4 linked regions of the Caenorhabditis elegans genome follow. The protein of the gene in region 1 purifies or fractionates together with the protein of each later gene. This does not show direct contact. Each region holds a gene or a part of one and is shown in the gene's direction. Other genes may lie near its edges. The genes, in order: clik-3, ndx-6, cyn-11 and usp-3.

Region 1 (6,680 bases):
ACATTTACCTGATCAAATTATGTGGGTGGTAGAAATGTCAGTTGGTCCGTTTCCCCCATCCGACACTTTTTTCTGTTATTGTCGTCATTTCAAAGGACCTCGGAAAAACAGATGAAAAGACAAAACACAGCCAACTTCCTGTCGGGAGGGGGGAAGCTCTTGATCTCCGATTAGCTATTCTCAAAGTTTGCGAGTTTTTAACATGAGACAGACACCACACAAAGACAGGCTACAAAAGTTACCGAAAAATGGGGGAAATCAAGTCATGGATGATGTCATCGTATTGGGAAAAGAAGCGAAAATTTTTGAAAATTTGTAGTTAGAATTAAAGCGATTTTTAAAGCCGGCAAGTCGGCAAACCGGAAATTTGCCGGAATTGAAACTTTCCGGCAAATCGGCAAACCGGCAAATTGTCGGAATTGAAATTTTTCCGCAAATTGGCGAATTGGCAAACCGGCAATATGCCGGAATTGAAAAATTCCGGCAAAACGGCAAACCGACAAACTGCTGGAATTGAAAATTTCCGGCAAATCGGCAAACCGGCAATTTACCGGAATTGAACATTTCCAGCAAATCGAAAATCCGGCAAATTGGCAAACCGGCAAACTGCAAACTGAAAATGGTAGCTAATATCGAAATATTTATATGGTACAATATTTTTTAAAGAAAACTGCCAAGTTCATTCTAAAATTACCGATTATCATAATAAAACTGTTCGACAAATTTTAGAAATTCCTTTATTTCGGGTCTTTTGCTGTTCGGCAAATCGGCAAATTGCCGGTTTGTCGATTTGCCGGAAACTTTCATTTTCGGCAAATTGACGGTTTGCCTATTTGTCAAAAATGTTCAATTCCGACAGTTTTGCCGGTTTGCCGATTCGCTCGAAATTTTGAATTCCGGCAATTCGCCGGTTTGCCGATTTGCCGGAAATTTTCAATTCTTGCAAATCGCCGGTTTGCCGATTTGCCGAAAATTTTGAATTCCGGCAATTCGCCGATTTGCCAAAAATTTCAATTTCCGACAATTTGCCAATTTTCCGATTTGCCGGCAAAAATCGTTCGCCGCCACCCCTGCTCAATATTTTGGCTAGTTGCAAAGGTATCGAAAAGTTGTCAGCTAACAAACTGTAGAAAAAAGTATTTCGATCATTTTTGTAGTGAACCACATTCTGATAAAACTATACCTCACAGAGATATAAACTGCCAAAATGCACCGGAAGTAAAATAATATGTTTTTTGGGCAAAGGACATCTGGATCACATTCCGCCGATTTTCACATCATCTGTTTCATATTTTCAAAAAAAAGGTTCAAGAGTCTGTGTGACTCAAAATATGTATTATTTCGCATTTCAAAGAGTGAATCAGCACGTCTCTACCCTCCTCACTTTCTCCACTCGCTGTACCATTTTTTTGTGTCTACCACGATTGAAACAAGTGCTTGTGGGTGTATTCTCAAACCAACTTCGATCGGGGCGTCCCACGCCCCTTCGAGACTCTACACAGCATCCCGGAGACGCAGATCGTCTCAGCAAGCCGAACGCGGGCTCCGCCCACTTTCTTGCGGAGCACTACCCCTTTTTGCTGGCAGTTAGTAACCCCCATCTCGGAAGCACACACAATCTATTCGAATAATGACTTCCCCAGTACCACCAACTCATCAAGGTGAGTCATGTTTTTATTTTTAAATTTTAATCTCATTTTCTTAATTAGTCTTGCATCTGACTTTGGTAGCTCATATCTCGGTTAATTTACAAAATATTGAAAATTTTGTTACTATCAGATCATAGAATAAGGAATGATATATATTTCGCCAGTTGAAAACTTTTTGATAAAATCAGAAACTACCGAGATATATATGCGTAATCAAAGTTAGAGTTCCAACTTCGATGCACCGTGTTCTTTTATCAACATTTTAGCAGCAAATATCTCGGCTTATTTTGAAATGTTCTCAACTACAAAATTGTAGAAAAAAACCTGCAACATTTTTTAAAATTTGAAAGTTATTGATAAAATCCAAAACTACTGAGATCTAGGCTGTCAAAGTTGTTCCACGCCGTCGATGCACCATGTACCACTATCAACTTTGGTAGCTAATATCTCGGCTTATTTTGAAGTTATTAAAAATGGTCTCAAATACAAAACTATAGAAAAGAGTCTGCAAACATTTAAAAAAAAATTAAAATTTATTGAAAAAGATCGAAAACTATCAACTTAATATCTCGGCCAATCTGAAGTAAAAAAAAAACGTAAAAACTACTAAACTATAAAAAAGTAATAATGAGTAATTCTAAATTCAAATAATAATTTAAAATTTTCAGAAGCTGGCCTCAAAATTGCCGCCGTCGAGGTGCCAAGCAATGAACAATTGGAGAGGAGAACTCGTGATGGTATGTTTTATTGTTTTTTATACTTTAAAAGGCATGTTTAGCATATGGATAGTTTTACTACATCCCTCATACTTTTTTAATTTTTATTTATTTAAATTTTAAAAAAAGTTCACCTACAAAAATCTAGAGATAAATCCAACTAGACCTATCCAATTTGCATGTTTGTTATATTTTCGGCAAATACTATATAATTTTTTGTCTAACCAAACATGGTAATATAAAACCCATTATTATTAAAAATTCTGCTTGGAAAAATCTAGGGTAAACAATGATAGAAAATGCATCCTTATGAAAAAAGGTAATAAAAATATAATTTTTTCACGGCTTATATCTTACTTGTCGTTTTTTTTATTTTAAAAATTATCAACTAACAAAATATTTTTGATTTCATTTTCTTTCGTTTGTAGTTGATTTGTTTTTGATATCTAGAAAATGAACCGAGTTATAATTTTTCAAAGTGAAGTTGTGGAGTATAGGAAAAACGGAATTTTTTTATTAGCAGAGCAGAGCCTAGAAGTAGCTTCAGAGCAAAATGGAAAGGCCTGAACAAAAACCGGACGCTTAAAATTTCCAGCAAATGGCAGCCAAATTTTGACGATTTTTAAACATTAGATTTTGCTGAAATATTAATTTGGAGCGGATTTTTAAATATTAATTCTACAAATAATCTAGGAAGTTCCCATTTTTCTACCAATTTCTCCACGCAACCCCCCAACTTTTGCAGGAAAATGGACACTTCGTCAACTCCGTCAGACTGATGCAATGGTGCCACTTCAATCCGGAACTAACCAGTTTGACAGTCAACGAGTGAGTTTTGAGGGGAAGGCTATATCTATCCTTCAATCAAAAAAAAACAGTAAACTTAGAGACTCAAGAGAATAAGAGTCTTATCTCTGTCAATATATCCAAACAAACCGCAGCATTTATTGGGGGTCGGGAAAGGGAGAGTGTATTTCGGGGAGCCGTGGGAAGGTTCAATAGTTGAACTTTTAGAAGGTTAATTTGTTGTGGAAATTTTGAAAAAAAATTGGGAAAAAATGGGGGTAAAAGGGATTTTTTGAGAAAACCGAAGAACGAAAATTTTCGATTTTTGGAAAAATTGAAAAATTGAAAATGTTTAGTACATATTTTCGCAAAATTGTATGAAAAACATTTTTCATTTTCAATTTTTTTTTCGGTGAAATCTAATGTCATAAGATTTATGCGTGTTTTTAAAAATTTTTTCGATCTCCATAAATTTTGAAAACCGTATTATATAATGGTGTGTGACGTCACACTTTTCAAATATAAATTTCCCGCGATTTCTAGTAGTACAGTAAAGCTACAGTAACCCTACAGTAATCCTACAGTACCTCTATATGTTTTGAATTTCCCGCCAACATTTTTTCTGGAAATTTAGATTTCTTGTCAAAATTTTTTTTGGGGAAAATTCAAATACTCTCAGACAATATTTTGGCGGGAGTTTAAAATATATTATCTTCTAAAATTTTGAACTTTTCGCCAATCCCTAGATTAAGCTTTTGTTGTTACTGTTAAAAAAGCTATGTAATTCTGTGCCCAAAAATGTTACGTTTTTTACAAGTATGCTTTGCCGTGAGCCCACTGTAGTTTTGTCTTTAAACACACTTAACTTTAACAGAGCATATCTCGGTTGTCTTTGATGTTATCAAAAAAGTGTTAACTGACAAAATACAGGCCAAACTGCCTTCTACAATTTTGTAATTAAAACTTTTTGACATCTTGACAACTGAAAAAGTTATAAGCTGTCAAAGTAGGCCCTAAATTGTAGCTTAACAAGTGTCCTTGTCTTATGTGTCCGTACATATATGTGTTTTGTTGTGAATTTCAGGGAAAAACTGGGTTTGGAATGCCACGTAACACACAAACCAAAGTCGATTTTGCCGATCATGACAAGCAATGGCTAATTGAGGAACAGAAGCAATATTCCGATGCGATTGTTCGACTTCAGTCAGGAACGAATCAATTTGAATCTCAAAAGGTTTGAATTTTGGAATTTTGGAACTTTCTAATTTTTTTTTGAATGTCGCATGTTGAACCTATATGTTTATTAAATTTGCTAATTCTAGAGCTTTCAAATTTCAAATTTTATTCAGAAAAAATGCGAAATAAACCCTTTTTAAAGCGGTATGGCTTAGGAAAAATTCGACCGCCAGGATTTTTTGAAATTTGAAAAAAAATGTTTGAGAAACAGCTTTTGGTAATAATGACCGAATTGTTCTTTTTTGTCGGCCACGCAGCTGTGCGTTGTGGCCTAGAAACCGAGAAAGCTAGGCCACAGGCCAAATAGCCTAGAAACACAGAAGAACCATAATGACGTGGCCTAGAAAATAAAAATTCGGCCATTGAGAGATTTTCGAGCAATTTTTTATGAAAATCAGTTTTATTAGAGTGACCGAGTTTTTTCACGACCCCATTGAAAATTACGTGACCTAGAAAACAAAAAACTCGGCTTGAGCCAAACAAAAGCCCTTCGCCGTGTTTGTTCATTTTTAGGCCACGTGGCAGAGACTCATGGACGTAAAAATGACTAAACTCGGCCATAGTGTTTTGAATTGAAAATCGTTCGTTTCTGAACTCATCTCGGTGGCCGAATTTTCTCTTCCACGGCCACATAGCAAATTTTTGAATTTTTTTAAAATTAGAAGCCATTAAATAGGATACTTTAAATATTTCCGCATCCACGTGTCACTTTACCTAACCCCCTTTTTCTCAATTTATGTGCGTGTTTGTGCCTGATTTGTGTCCATTTCCAGGGAAAAACCGGCTTCGGAATGCCACGAAACACGCAGACAAAAGTTGAATTCGCGGAGCACGGAGCCCGATGGGCTGTAGCTGACAACGCGGCTCACGACTCAATTGTCCGTCTTCAATCCGGAACGAATCAATATGAAAGTCAAAAGGTTCCGTTTTTTTTCTATGTTAATGAATGCATTGTCCCACGTCTTGTTCCCCACGTTTGGTCCCTGATTTTTAGAGGAAAAGTTTGGAAAAAAATGGAGAGAAGGTTCTTCACTTCTTATTAGATCCCTTGGGAAATGGTGAAATGTTGGATGGAATTCTGGGATGGGGTTCAATTTAGAGTTGCATTTGGTCTTGAAAGATCAGAGTTCGTAAAAGTTTGATAATTCTTTTGTAGTACTATATTATAAATCTGATAAAATTTGAAATGGATGATAAGGTTTTCTAGTCCAAAAGGTTAAGCAGCAGACCAGTTTGAATGCGTCAATAAATGAGTTGTTCAGTTATATAATCAGTGGTTGCCTGTCCCCCCATTCCCCTCTGATTCTCATGTTTACTTTCGGATTAGTAGTAGTAGTTTTCTCCCCACTGTGCACTTTTTCGCAACGTTTTTTTCGTTTCAAACAAACCAAAATGAAAGAAAAGAAAATTTTCGAAATTATATATATTTTTTGAAATTTTCCAGGGAATGACCGGTTTCGGAACACCACGTGACGTCAAGGGAAAGCATTTGAAGAGAATTTGGGAGCTCGAGTTCCCGGAGGAAGCCGCCGATTTTCAACAGCAACCAGTGAATGCTCAACCACAAAATTAAATTGTTTTATTCATAAAATTTCCCTTTTCTGCTTTTAAACAATTGTTTTCTCCGTTTTTTGTAGATTTTGCCACGCCCTGTCTCTAGTTCACTTTACTTGCAATATTCCATCAACCAGAAGGCAAGACCCTCCAAAATGTACTCACATCACTCGATATACAACTTCTTCTTGTTTCTTACGAGTAAATATTTTTGCAAAATAATTCACGCTTTTATCTACCTATAACTTCTATATTGAGGTGGGCAAACGATTTTTTTCTGGCAAATCGGCAAATTGGCAAATTGCGGGAGTTGAAAATTTCCGACAAACCGGCAACTTGCCGGAATTGAAAATTTTCTAAAAATCGGCAAACCGGCAACTTGCCGGAATTGAAAATTTTCGGCAAATCGACAATCCGGCAAATTGTCGGAATTGAAAATTTTCTAAAAATTGGCAAACTGGCAAATTGGCGGAATTGAAAATTTCCGGCAAATCAGCAAATCGGCAAATTGGCGGAATTGAAAATTTCCGGCAAATCGGCAAATCGGCAAATTGGCGGAATTGAAAATTTTCGGCAAGTAATTGCCGCCCACCCCTGTCCTGAAAAAATACTGGAAAAATGTAGTTCAAGACGAACTTATTTTCCAGATTTTTCCTGATTGGATAATATACCTTATTTTTTCCAGGTTTTTAGTAGAACTCTATGATAAACGAACTGTATGATAAATTTTCCAAGAAAT
Region 2 (3,363 bases), on another chromosome or scaffold:
TTTCGCGCACTAATTAGTTTTGAAAATTCTCGGCCGTGTACTCCTCTCGGGCAATGAATCAATTAATTTTTTTGGATGCAATTTTTCGGGTTTTCTCATTGAATTCTATTGGTTTTTGTTTGAAAACAAATATATATATATATATATATGCGTCTGTAAATGCGTTTCAAATTAATTATCACACAAATACTTTTGTTCTGCCTAGGAATAAGTGCTAAAATCCTGTAATATATTCATTTTCCCCTTTATCGTTGAATAATAAGTATGATCATGTTCTAAAAGTGTTTGAAATCCAAAGTGTTTGATTTTTTACTTTATTTTTGCTATCATAAAGCAAAATTTTTTTTTTTTCGTGAAAAAATACCTTTGAAAAACAGAAAAAAAAGCAAAAAAAAAGTCCAGCACTGTTTTGTGGCCTTTTCATTCTATACAGAAAATTTATAAATTCATTTAAAATTTTGTTTTCAAGTATTCTGACTAAATAGACCAGAATGTTTAGTCTTCACTCAAATTCCCTAAAAATGTTGAAAATTGCAGAGCTTTGATGACAAAAACCAAAAGGGTGGAGACAAGCTTGAGGGAATCAAACTCGAATACACTCTACTCCTGACCAGTCAACTTGAGGATCAACGGAAATATTTTGAAGGTCTACGTCACGATATGGAGCAAACGATGTCAAAAATGGAGAAAACTGCTTATGCTCAAGTAGAGAATCTCGAGCATCAACTGACGGAACGATCAACTGAATTGAAATCATTAAAAGGAGATTTAGATGATACTGTGACGGCGAGAAAAGTGGCAGAGAAACGAGCAACGCAGACAAATGAAAAAGTGAATAAGCTTGCAAATGAGTTGAAAGATGAACGTGAAATAAATCAAATGTTGAGAAAAGATCAGCAAGTGTGGAAAGGTCAAGTGGAAAAGCTTATTGAAAGTCAGAAAACTGCTCGAACCGAGTATGAAAAGGTATTCGTCTAAATAGATTCCCTTGATCTCTTGAAAGCTTTTCTTTTCAGAAAATCGAAGATCTTCAGTCACAAGTCAATGATCTTTTGATGCATTTTGAAACTCAAAATAAGCTGAAAGAGCAGTTGGATGCTGGAAAAATAACTCAAGAGGTTGGTTAACCAATGCTCGCCACAATAAAAATGTTTAATTTACAGGAAATAACTGAAAGTCAAGTTGAACTCGATTCGTCGTCCTCCTCGTCGAGAAAATTGAACAGAAAGAAGAAAAAGTAGTTGGCATCTCAGGAGATCCATGTCCTATTTAATTTTTGCATATTGAACATTTCTTTAATAGTCTTTTCATATATGGTTAGTCTCACTTGAATATTTATTCGCTTTCTTTCGCGTATCTCATCGAATTTTGTGCGGTATATATGTATGCAGCCGGTAGTTTATTTAATGCATTCGCTTATGAATAAAATGATATCGTTCGAGTGTCTTTTGGTTTCATATTATGTACCATGTTTTCAATCGTTATTAAACGACGAGTCAAAAACTATTTTTCGAATTCCCTCCTCTTTCCTTGCTGACACATTTTCGGTGCTGACGCAACTCTTGTGTTCACTAAGAACGCACACTTCGTTTTAAACGTCTCCGCTGGCCATCATTCTTGTTTCCTTCGATTTTTCTCGATACTTATCTTTTACAAATTATTTTCTCTTTTTTTCAAGATTTCCATCAACTTTTAATATCACTGCTCTCATAATTTCTCGAAACTCTTCGTATTTCTCTAATTCAAAAGTTTTCTGCCGCATTTTTACACTCACTAACCAAGATTATCGATTTTTGGGCAATTTATGACAATTTGGAATCATCTTTTGTGTCGTCCGATAATGAGTTTCGTTCATCAAAAATGCAGAAATATCGGTATAAACAATGTATTAATCTAACATTAAATACAAATTTAACCTCTAGATACGGTTTACCTTGGTAGTAACATTCACCGACTAAATGTGCCTGATAATCTTGTCAAATGGAGCCAAGAATGGTCAGGATACAATCCTCCGGCTCACACCGATCCAAAAGTTGATGGAGCTGTTTGGGCAGACCCAGAAATCGATGAGAAAACGTTCCAACCGTCTTGGAATGCGATCGATGGGAAAATCAATAGAGTGTCATATGTTTGGTGCGTTTATGAGTGTATATACTCAATCAATCAAGAAACCTTCCAGTCAGTACTCATTTGATCCTGTCACCCTTCGCCCACTAAATCCTATTGGACGTACGGGACTTTCTGGTCGTGGTTTGCTTGGTCGTTGGGGTCCAAACCACGCAGCAGATCCGATCGTTTCTAGAACAAACGACAATGGTGATTTGGAGTTTGTTGCAGTTCAACGTCATGACAATGGCGAGTGGGCAATTCCTGGAGGAATGGTGGATGCTGGAGAGCATGTTTCACAAACTCTACGGCGCGAATTCGCAGAAGAAGCAATGCATGGAATTGTCGATTCTGAAAATCTTGATGAATTGTGGAATAATGGTAAAGAGTTATACAGGTGCATTCACAGCTCTTTTATCCCACTCAATGTTTCATTTACAGAGGTTACGTTGATGACCCACGTAACACTGATAACGCATGGATGGAGACTGTTGTTTTCAATTTTCATGATTCAAAAGGCCTTCTGAAAAATGTGGCTCTTCAAGCAGGAGATGATGCTAAAGCTTTACGCTGGATTGCAGTTAATTCAAATGAGCCACTTTACGCTTCTCATTCTCATTTTATTGATCTTCTAAAAGAATCTCATTCTCATTAACTACCACATGTCTCTCTTTTCTCATGTTCTCCTCTTATTTTCGCGTTTCTGTTAGCTATATTCAATTCATAAATGATTTTCATTTCAGAAATGAGCCGTGGAGGAGGTGGTGATCGTCGTGCCGCACCGGATATCAATGGTCTAACTTCGCTGAAAATCGACAACTTGTCGTACCAAACAACGCCCAACGATTTGCGTCGAACTTTTGAGCGATACGGAGACATTGGAGATGTTCACATTCCAAGGGACAAGTACTCTCGCCAATCGAAAGGATTCGGATTCGTTAGATTTTATGAGTAAGTTAAATTGGAACTATTGGAGAGAAAACATCAGAAAATCAATATTATTTTAGACGTCGTGATGCTGAGCACGCATTGGACCGCACAGACGGAAAGTTGGTTGATGGACGCGAGTTACGTGTGACTCTTGCAAAGTATGATCGACCATCGGATGAGAGAGGAGGCCGTGGAGGTGGTGGTGGACGTAGAAGGTTAGTATACTCAGTTGATTCCCCTTGTAGTTGTGCTCAAAAATTAGGCGCGAGACTTAATGGAACCCTTGTCTTCCTGACTTATTTATAGAACAGCAGCAGAGCCAGATGT
Region 3 (3,233 bases), on another chromosome or scaffold:
CTATGATGGCAACCCGTTTTTGACGTAATCAGAGACGATTGCGCGATTTGAGACCGCTTATCTACTAGCCATCGGTGGTGTTTAGTTGAAAGAATGAAGAGAACAGATGAAGTGAAAACGGGAAGATACTGAAAAAGAGAGAACACGAAAAATTAACCTTGGAAACGATACGAATCAGCATTTGATGTTCACAAGTGATAGCTTCAAAATTTAATAAACTTTCGAGAATTGGCATTAGGAAGAAATAGGAAATTATCACAAGAGGAAGAAGCTGCAACTGATACCGGGAAAAAAGTGAAGAGACATTTTAAAAAATTAGAACTTACTCTTGCTTCAAATTGTTCCAGAGTTTTCACGATTTTTTTGTTCTTTGTCCTTGCATTCTCCTCATTGAATTCTAAAACTGTTTCCACCTAAAACTTTTCATTATTTTAATTATTCTTTCAATTCGTTTACCTCGACAGTTTCTTCTTTTTCTTCCTCATCTTCATCGTCGTCGTCAAATAAATCAGCAATGGCAGCTGTCGATTTGTCGATTTGTTTTTGACGAGTCAACGCATCTTCCTCTTCGAGTTGAGCATCTTCCATTTCTTCTTCACGCATTCCGCCCCAATCTTTATCCACGAATCCAGTTCCATAGAAATCTTTCCTCTTTTTACCCCATTTGTTGTCCGTGATATCTTAAATAAATTACGTTAATCAGGTAATTCAGAAAGAAAACTACCATTAACATCGTCATCATCAAAGTCGGATCCATCGTCTTCACTGCTATCCGATGCTTCTGCTTCAACGTTTAACACCTCTTCTGGACGATTGAATGTTTTTCTTTTGTGAATAGCACCCTTTTCGACTTTTCTGTCTTTGTTATGAAAAGTATTGATTTCATCAATGAGATCATCATTTTCGTCTTCGTATGAGATATGAGCAGATCTGAAAATATATTTAATGATTATTTATAAATTGTGAAAAACATTCAACTTACGCTTTCCCCTTCCTTGATGACATAGTTCTAGTATCTGAAATCCAAAAATTAGCAATTTATAGCATTTTCAACAGAGAAACGGATTGCACCGACCGAAAATAAACCAAATTCTGATTTTCAAATCAATGAATAACTCTAATAAAGTTAATTATGCTTTAATCGTGTGATAAACTTCGATAAATTAATTTTTAAATGAATAGAACGAACTTTTACAAGATAAATTATTCAAAAATTGAATTTTCGAGTTGAATTTGAGAAAAGACGGGGGAAAATTATTAGCGGCAGGGCTTTGTGGGCGGGGTTTCTGATTGCAAACTACCCGCGCACTTTATTATTGTTCTATACACCCATTTAATGCTCACCTTTTTTTGTTTTGAATAGAACGAATATCACTTTTTTCTTGAATATGTCGAATTTTATTGACGAATTTGTATTTCTTGGTTATAAAACTTATGAACGATTAGTTCAGTTGATCCCATTATTCTCGGAAAAACCTGACACATTTCGAAAATACTTATTTCGAATACTTACAGAAAACGTTTTTCTGGTTTTAAAAACTAACTCATTTATATGTTTTCTTTTTCAGAATGACTGAATACGACAAGTTTGCCGAGCAGCTCCGTCATCCGGATAACCCAATCGTTTTTCTAGAAGTTACCGCCGGTGGTGCACCAATCGGAACTATTGTTGTAAGTTGACGACCATTCCAGTTTTAATTTGCTATATATTTCATAATTTTTCAGATCGAGTTATTTGCTGATGTAACACCGAGAACTGCTGAAAACTTTCGTCAGTTCTGTACAGGAGAATACAAAAAAGATGGTGTCCCAAACGGATACAAAAACTGCACATTTCATCGTGTGATCAAGGACTTTATGATTCAGGGTGGCGACTTCTGCAACGTAAGTTTAACAATTTTAAATTTTAAAGTTATATCATTTTTTCAGGGCGATGGAACCGGTTTGATGAGCATCTATGGTTCAAAGTTCCGTGACGAGAATTTCGAGCTGAAGCACATAGGACCAGGAATGCTTTCGATGGCTAACGCTGGCTCTGACACAAATGGTTGTCAGTTTTTTATCACTTGCGCAAAAACCGATTTCCTTGACAACAAACATGTAGTTTTTGGTAATTTTTTTTTATTTCAAATTCACGGATAAGTTGATTTCTGTAGTACAAAGAAAGAAGAATACGGATTGTGATTGTGATAAATGTCTCCAACGTCATTAGTTCTCCATCCCAATCCCCTGAAAGCAGTGTTTTAAAAAGAAAATCGCAAATTTTAATGATACCCACTGATAATGTTGGTGATACATTGATGGTGCCATAGTTGTTGTTTTATACTGATTATATGGGTTGAACATGCCAGCGTTAGCATACAATAAAGGAAGTAATGTTTGCAATGAAACGCATTTTAAAAAGAAAAAAATTAGAACGAGAATGCGTGTCATCGTCTAGCTAAAACAACTAGATTTCCTTATATCCTTATCACCTTTTATACGAGATAAAGCTAGTTAATGACGCCATTGATATGTTTGATATTTCTGACCGATCGTTTATTGCAGGACGAGTACTCGATGGAATGCTGACGGTTCGGAAAATCGAAAATGTTCCAACTGGAGCCAATAACAAGCCGAAACTTCCGATTGTTGTTGTTCAATGTGGCCAACTCTAATTTTCACTGTATTGTTATTTTGATCTCGTTTTGTTATATTCACAATAAACTATTAATTACTTCTGATTATATGGGTTGAAAAATGAAATGAAAAGACAGTATAAGTGACTGTTAGTATATCTGGTTCAGTTTTAAAAGCGAAGTAAAGAAAATAAACCTTCAAAATCGAATACTTTCAGAATAAATGCTCGAAACCAACGTGGATCAGAAGTCGTTCAAATTCAAGATCGTGTTGCTCGGCGAAGGATGTGTTGGTAAATCATCACTTGTGCTTCGATTCGTTGAAAATAAATTCAGCTGCAAACACCTGTCGACGATTCAGGTAATAATTTAGAAAAAGGTTGCGATAGATAATCCAAAAAAATATTTCTGGGTTTTTCTTCATTCAGTTATCAAGATTTTGATATGCATATAAAATATTTTCCAATTGTTCTTCATATTGCAGGCAAGCTTCCAAAACAAAACTGTGAATGTAGAAGACTGCCAAGCTGACCTACACATCTGGGATACCGCTGGACAGGAGAAATACCACGCACTCGGTCCAATCTACTATCGAGGAAGCAATGGCGTGCTACT
Region 4 (4,885 bases), about 11 Mb from region 1:
TTTCAGGAGCGCGCTTTATCTTAGCAGAATTAACACAAAAATGGACGACTCCCGTTTAGATGGAACGACTCTTTATAAAAAGGTCACACGAGAGACGCCTTCGGTTGAGTCATACAACTATCAGCCAAGCAAAGAACCGAAAAGCTTTGAAAGCTGCGAAGCCTGCTATCCGCCCCGCAGGCGAAGAACGGATCGACCAAGTACCCTGAGTGGCGTGCCAGGACTCGGAGTAAGCATTCAAAAAAATTAACAACGACAAATGGGTGCAAATATAATTGGTGAGACGAATGGAGTGAACAACAAAAAAAAAAGATTTAAGTTTAACAACAATTTCATTAGGAAACAATAACGAGCAGCAGTATTTACTTCTTGCTGGTCTTCTTGACCTCGGACTCGGAGTGATGGGAAGCCGAAGAGCGTCTGCGGGCGATCTTGGCGTCGTGCTCTTCCTTGGAGTACTTGGCGAGGAGCTTGTGGTAGGCAGCGGCGTCATCGCGCATCTTGATCTTCTGGTTGCGCTTCTGGCGGAGAAGGTACTTCTTTCTGGCGATACGAGCTGGGGTGATGAGACGCTGGATCTTTGGTGCGATGGTCTTGGTGACTCCTGGAAATTTAGACAGTTAAAAACTAAATTTAAAGAGAATATTGAAGAAACTCACCATCTGGGAAGGTCTTGTCGTGGGTGATGACGTATTTGGTGACATCGTCGTGCTTGGTCAAGTTGAAGAGCTTGCGGATCTTGGAGGCTCTCTTTGGTCCGAGCTTGCGTGGGAGAACGGAGTCGGTGAGTCCTTCGATCTCTCCATCTCCCTTCTTCACGATGACGAGGGAAAGAGCGGACATGTTGGCGTCGACGATGCATCCACGGACGGACTTTCTCTTGCGCTCTCCGTTCTTGCGCTCACGGTAGCAGGATTGTCCCTTCTTCAAGAGAAGACGAACACGTCCGTTGGTGAGAATTCCTTGCTTCATTGGGAATCCCTGCTTGTCGTTTCCTCCTCCGATTCTGACGACATATCCCTGGAAAAAAGCAACTCGTTTGAAAGAGCCGAGAATCGGTTCAAAAACAAAAACTGGGACTCTCAATGTATGTCTAGTCACAGCCATTTCAGCGAAGAAAAAGCACGTGAAACAATGAGGATTTGACACAGAAACATCACTTCGTTTCTGTGTTTTTGGGTGACTCGCTAACCTTCCACTCGTCACCGAGAGCATCGATGGCGACCTCCTGGGACATGCGCTTCTCGAAGAAGAGGCGAAGCTTCTTCTCCTCATCGACCTCGAACGACTTTTGGAGCCCGGTGGCTGGGTAGGCGAAGTTAAGTCTCATCGCTCAAATATTATTACCTGCAAGAAGAAAAACATTGGAAATGAGTTAACGGGGTGAGAAAAGGAGAAACTGAAGCGAAAAACGAAAACATGGGCCTAAAACTAATAAATTTGATTTTCCAAGCAAATATCCTGCGAAATGTGGAGGAAAACTATCAGGAAAACATTTAAAATTTTGAAAATTCGAAAAAAAAACCGAAAAGTTCGCCTAAAAATGAGAAATTCACCCAAAAATTCGAGGGAAAAATGAAAAAAGGAGCGAAAACTTTTTAGGCCAACGACAATTCCAGTTTAAAGGCGCACGCCCTTCGTGGCGAGACCCATCCCCCATCCGCCTCGTCGTCTGCTGCACCCCACCTTTCCCACACTATCTCGTCCGATGGATTTTATTTTTTTCCAAACTTTTCCGATTTTCCGACTCGATTTTCGGTTTTTCTTCGATTTCCGCCGAAAATTTGCTGTTTTTCTTGATTATCGATTTTTTATCCGCGTTTTAAGTGCCAAAACTTTGCTCTCACACTCAAATTGACTGATTTTCGAATTTTTTCAGATGCTTTGCACCCATATAAAGGCGGAAGATTGTGTGGAGCGTGTGCCCAAGGGGATGTTCCGCAAGAAACAGGACATGGAGGACAATAATTTGTTCTTGGAGGGAAATTCGAATCGTGGGAAGGTGGTGAAGTGAGTTTTTTTGAGAAATTTGGCTAGAAAATGGCTAAAAAAAGCTAAAAATAGCTTTAAAAACTCGTTTTTCTTCCAGAAACCAGGAAATAATTAAAACCTTCTGCGACGAATGCGATAATTGCAATAAATCGCTGATGTGCCTCACTTGCGGACGAATTCTGTGCGGAAGAAACGACTCGGGCCACGCTTTGCATCATTTTGAAGAAACCAGCCACCCAGTCGTCATTGATTGCATTTCTTTCGAGCTTTACTGCTATTCCTGTGATGATGAAGTGTCACTGGACTTTGAGCCATCTTTATATGGAGTTCTAAAATCGCTGAAGCTCCTTTTCGACCGGGAAGACGTTATGGAGGGAGGCGACGGGCCGACTATACCGGCACAGCCTTTTCAGTGCGTATTTTTCGAGGAAAATGGACTAAAAATTGGTTAAAAACCGATATTTTATCGATAAACCCTGCTAGAAATCGAATTTTCCACTGAAAAACGTTACAGTTCTCGTAAAAATCGTATTTCCCATGAAAAGTCCGATAAATTGCGATTTTCAGTGAAAAAAACGCCAATTTTCCTCAGAAATTCCATTTTTCTCTCTGGAATTTCTGAAAATTTTGATTTTTCAGTCAAAAACGTTCGTTTTCTCATAAAAATTTATTTTTCTTAAAAAAAAAAATGAAAATCCTAATTTTCATCGAAGAAACTTTAATTTTCCATTGGGAAATCATTTTTTCCGCAAAAACTTGAACAGAACCCTATTTTCCTCACGAGAATCACTAAAATTCCGATTTTCAGGTGAAAAAACATCAAAAAATCGTATTTCGCCCTAAGAATCCGAAAAATTCCGATTTTTCGGCAGAAACTCATCAATTTCTGCGATAAAATTCATTTTTCCCACTAAAAAGCCCCTAAATTGTGATTTTTCAGGGGAAAAAACATCAAAAATCCATTTTTCCTCCTAAAAAGCCAAAAAAATCCGATCTTTCAGCACAAAAAACTTCAAAATCCGTTTTTGCACCTAAACAGCCCAAAAATTCCGAATTTTTCAACGTTAACACTTTAAATTTATTTTAGAAAATCAGTTTTCACAATGAAAAAGCCCAAAACTTCCGATTTTTCAGCACAAAAAACATCAAAAAATTCATTTAGCCCACGAAAAATCCGATTTTTCCGTCAAAAACCTCATATTTTTACTAATTTTTCAATGAAAAACCTCCATTTTCTAGAGCAAAATCACATTTTTCTAAAAATATTCAAAAATTCCGATTTTTCAGCCCAAAAAACATCAAATATCCATTTTTCCCACTAAAAATCCACAAAAATTCCTATTTTCAGTAGAAAAATCAATTTTTTCCACTATAAATGTTCAAAAATGCGCGGTTTTTCAATAGAAAAACGTAACAATAACTCAATTTCCCACTTAAAAGCTCCCAAACGTTGATTTTTCAGCGTTAAATCTTCAAATTTAATTCAGAAAATCAGTTTTTCAACCAAAAAGCCCCAAAATTCCCATTTTTCAGCAGCACAAAAACATTAAAAAATCCAATTTTCCATATAAAAACTTCCGTTTTCTAGAGCAAAATCACACTTTTCCACCTAAAAATATTCAAAAATTCCGATTTTTCAGCCCAAAAAACATCAAATATCCATTTTTCCACCTAAAAAGCCAAAAAATTCCGATTTTCCACTCAAAAATCCTCAATTTTCTTTCAGAACAGTGACCTCAGTCGCCTCAACATTCACCCAAAAGCTCCACGTGGCTCCAGCTTCTCGAAATTCGAAGAAAAAACGTGGAAAAAAGGGAAAAGTCAGTCCAATGTTCGTCGATACACCACCATTCCAGCAGCAGCAGGGAGCCGCCGTAATTCATGACGTCACACTATCATCCACAAATTCTACGTCATCGGGGTCCGGCGGTGCCACGTCATCATCTGAAATTGCCTATAGGCCACGTGGAATGCGAAATGTTGGAAATACGTGCTTTATGAATGCCGTTTTACAAGCATTAGCGTACGTTTTTCACCTCGAAAGTGTGAAAAATTGGCTTTTTTGAGCCGAAATACATGAAAATCGGCCATTTTTGACCCTGAAAATGCGAAATTCATGCGCGAAAATCGGGTGTTTTCCGCCCCTTGAGAGTGAAAAATTGGTGAAAAACGCGATTTTTGACCCTAAAAATTGAGAATTTCATCGAAAATGAGCAGAAATTGTGATTTTTCCGTGAAAATTGTTAGGAAAACGCAAAAATTAGTTTATATTTTGCGTTTTTTAGTTGAAAATTGCAAAATTCTGCAGAAAACCACGGAAAACTCGTGAATTGTGCGTTTTCCGGTCTTAAAATTTAAAAAAAAAACCCGAAAAATGCGTAAAATTTCCTGTTTTAACGTCAAAAATTTTTCTTTTTTAAGCATTAGCGTACGTTTTTCACCTGGAAAGTGTGAAAAATTGGTGAAAAACGCGATTTTTGACCCAAAAAATCGGGAAAATCATCGAAAATTAGCCGAAATTGTGATTTTCACGTGAAAAATGCAGTTTTCTAGCAGTGAAAGGCTATTTTTCATGGAAAATGCCTCATTTTTTCAATAAAAATCGTAAATTTTACGTTTTTAACGCTAAAAATGCGTAAAATTCACCTTTTGAGGTTCAAAAATCCATTTTTTTTTGGCAATTTTTTCTGAAAATTGTATTTTTATAGCGAAAATTGCGTAAATTTCAACTAAAAATTTGAATTTTTGCCCTAAAAATGATATAAAATGTGTGATTTCACAGAAAAATGCCGATTTTTAATCCAAATACCGATTTTCATGGAAAATTTAACTTTTTCACCTAAAAAATGTCGTTTCTGCAGGTTTTGTTACAAAAATCCTATTTTAATTTCAA

What was found.
Region 2: the proteins of clik-3 (region 1) and ndx-6 fractionate together in Caenorhabditis elegans (co-fractionation; one large-scale study listed by BioGRID). This does not show direct contact.
Region 3: the proteins of clik-3 (region 1) and cyn-11 fractionate together in Caenorhabditis elegans (co-fractionation; one large-scale study listed by BioGRID). This does not show direct contact.
Region 4: the proteins of clik-3 (region 1) and usp-3 fractionate together in Caenorhabditis elegans (co-fractionation; one large-scale study listed by BioGRID). This does not show direct contact.

The regions. Positions count from the first base shown.
Region 1 is NC_003279.8:3,418,049-3,424,728, forward strand, and holds clik-3 (CaLponIn-liKe proteins), read left to right. Parts: upstream 1-1,551; 5' UTR 1,552-1,630; coding exon 1,631-1,661; intron 1,662-2,317; coding exon 2,318-2,386; intron 2,387-3,110; coding exon 3,111-3,193; intron 3,194-4,235; coding exon 4,236-4,385; intron 4,386-5,160; coding exon 5,161-5,307; intron 5,308-5,831; coding exon 5,832-5,960; 3' UTR 5,961-6,163; downstream 6,164-6,680.
Region 2 is NC_003280.10:5,388,315-5,391,677, reverse strand, and holds ndx-6 (Putative nudix hydrolase 6), read left to right. Parts: upstream 1-1,796; 5' UTR 1,797-1,840; coding exon 1,841-1,874; intron 1,875-1,922; coding exon 1,923-2,133; intron 2,134-2,179; coding exon 2,180-2,503; intron 2,504-2,547; coding exon 2,548-2,761; 3' UTR 2,762-2,849; downstream 2,850-3,363. Other genes in the region: brap-2 (BRCA1-associated protein homolog 2), read left to right, coding at 538-966, 1,017-1,118, 1,164-1,241; rsp-4 (putative splicing factor, arginine/serine-rich 4), read left to right, coding at 2,852-3,057, 3,114-3,251. UniProt on the Caenorhabditis elegans protein: Probably mediates the hydrolysis of some nucleoside diphosphate derivatives.
Region 3 is NC_003280.10:8,714,617-8,717,849, reverse strand, and holds cyn-11 (Peptidyl-prolyl cis-trans isomerase 11), read left to right. Parts: upstream 1-1,568; 5' UTR 1,569-1,569; coding exon 1,570-1,671; intron 1,672-1,725; coding exon 1,726-1,884; intron 1,885-1,929; coding exon 1,930-2,110; exon of another isoform or gene 2,111-2,132; coding exon of another isoform or gene 2,133-2,229; intron 2,230-2,278; coding exon of another isoform or gene 2,279-2,433; exon of another isoform or gene 2,434-2,453; intron 2,454-2,547; coding exon 2,548-2,657; 3' UTR 2,658-2,719; downstream 2,720-3,233. Other genes in the region: T01B7.5 (Sas10 C-terminal domain-containing protein), read right to left, coding at 327-413, 457-680, 725-930, 983-1,005; T01B7.13 (uncharacterized protein), read right to left, coding at 2,133-2,229, 2,279-2,433; Ras-related protein Rab-21, read left to right, coding at 2,842-2,979, 3,103-3,233. UniProt on the Caenorhabditis elegans protein: PPIases accelerate the folding of proteins. It catalyzes the cis-trans isomerization of proline imidic peptide bonds in oligopeptides.
Region 4 is NC_003279.8:13,948,623-13,953,507, reverse strand, and holds the start of usp-3 (Ubiquitin carboxyl-terminal hydrolase), read left to right. Parts: upstream 1-1,877; 5' UTR 1,878-1,879; coding exon 1,880-2,010; intron 2,011-2,089; coding exon 2,090-2,404; intron 2,405-3,718; coding exon 3,719-4,015; intron 4,016-4,885. Other genes in the region: rps-6 (Small ribosomal subunit protein eS6), read right to left, coding at 363-604, 660-1,020, 1,193-1,330.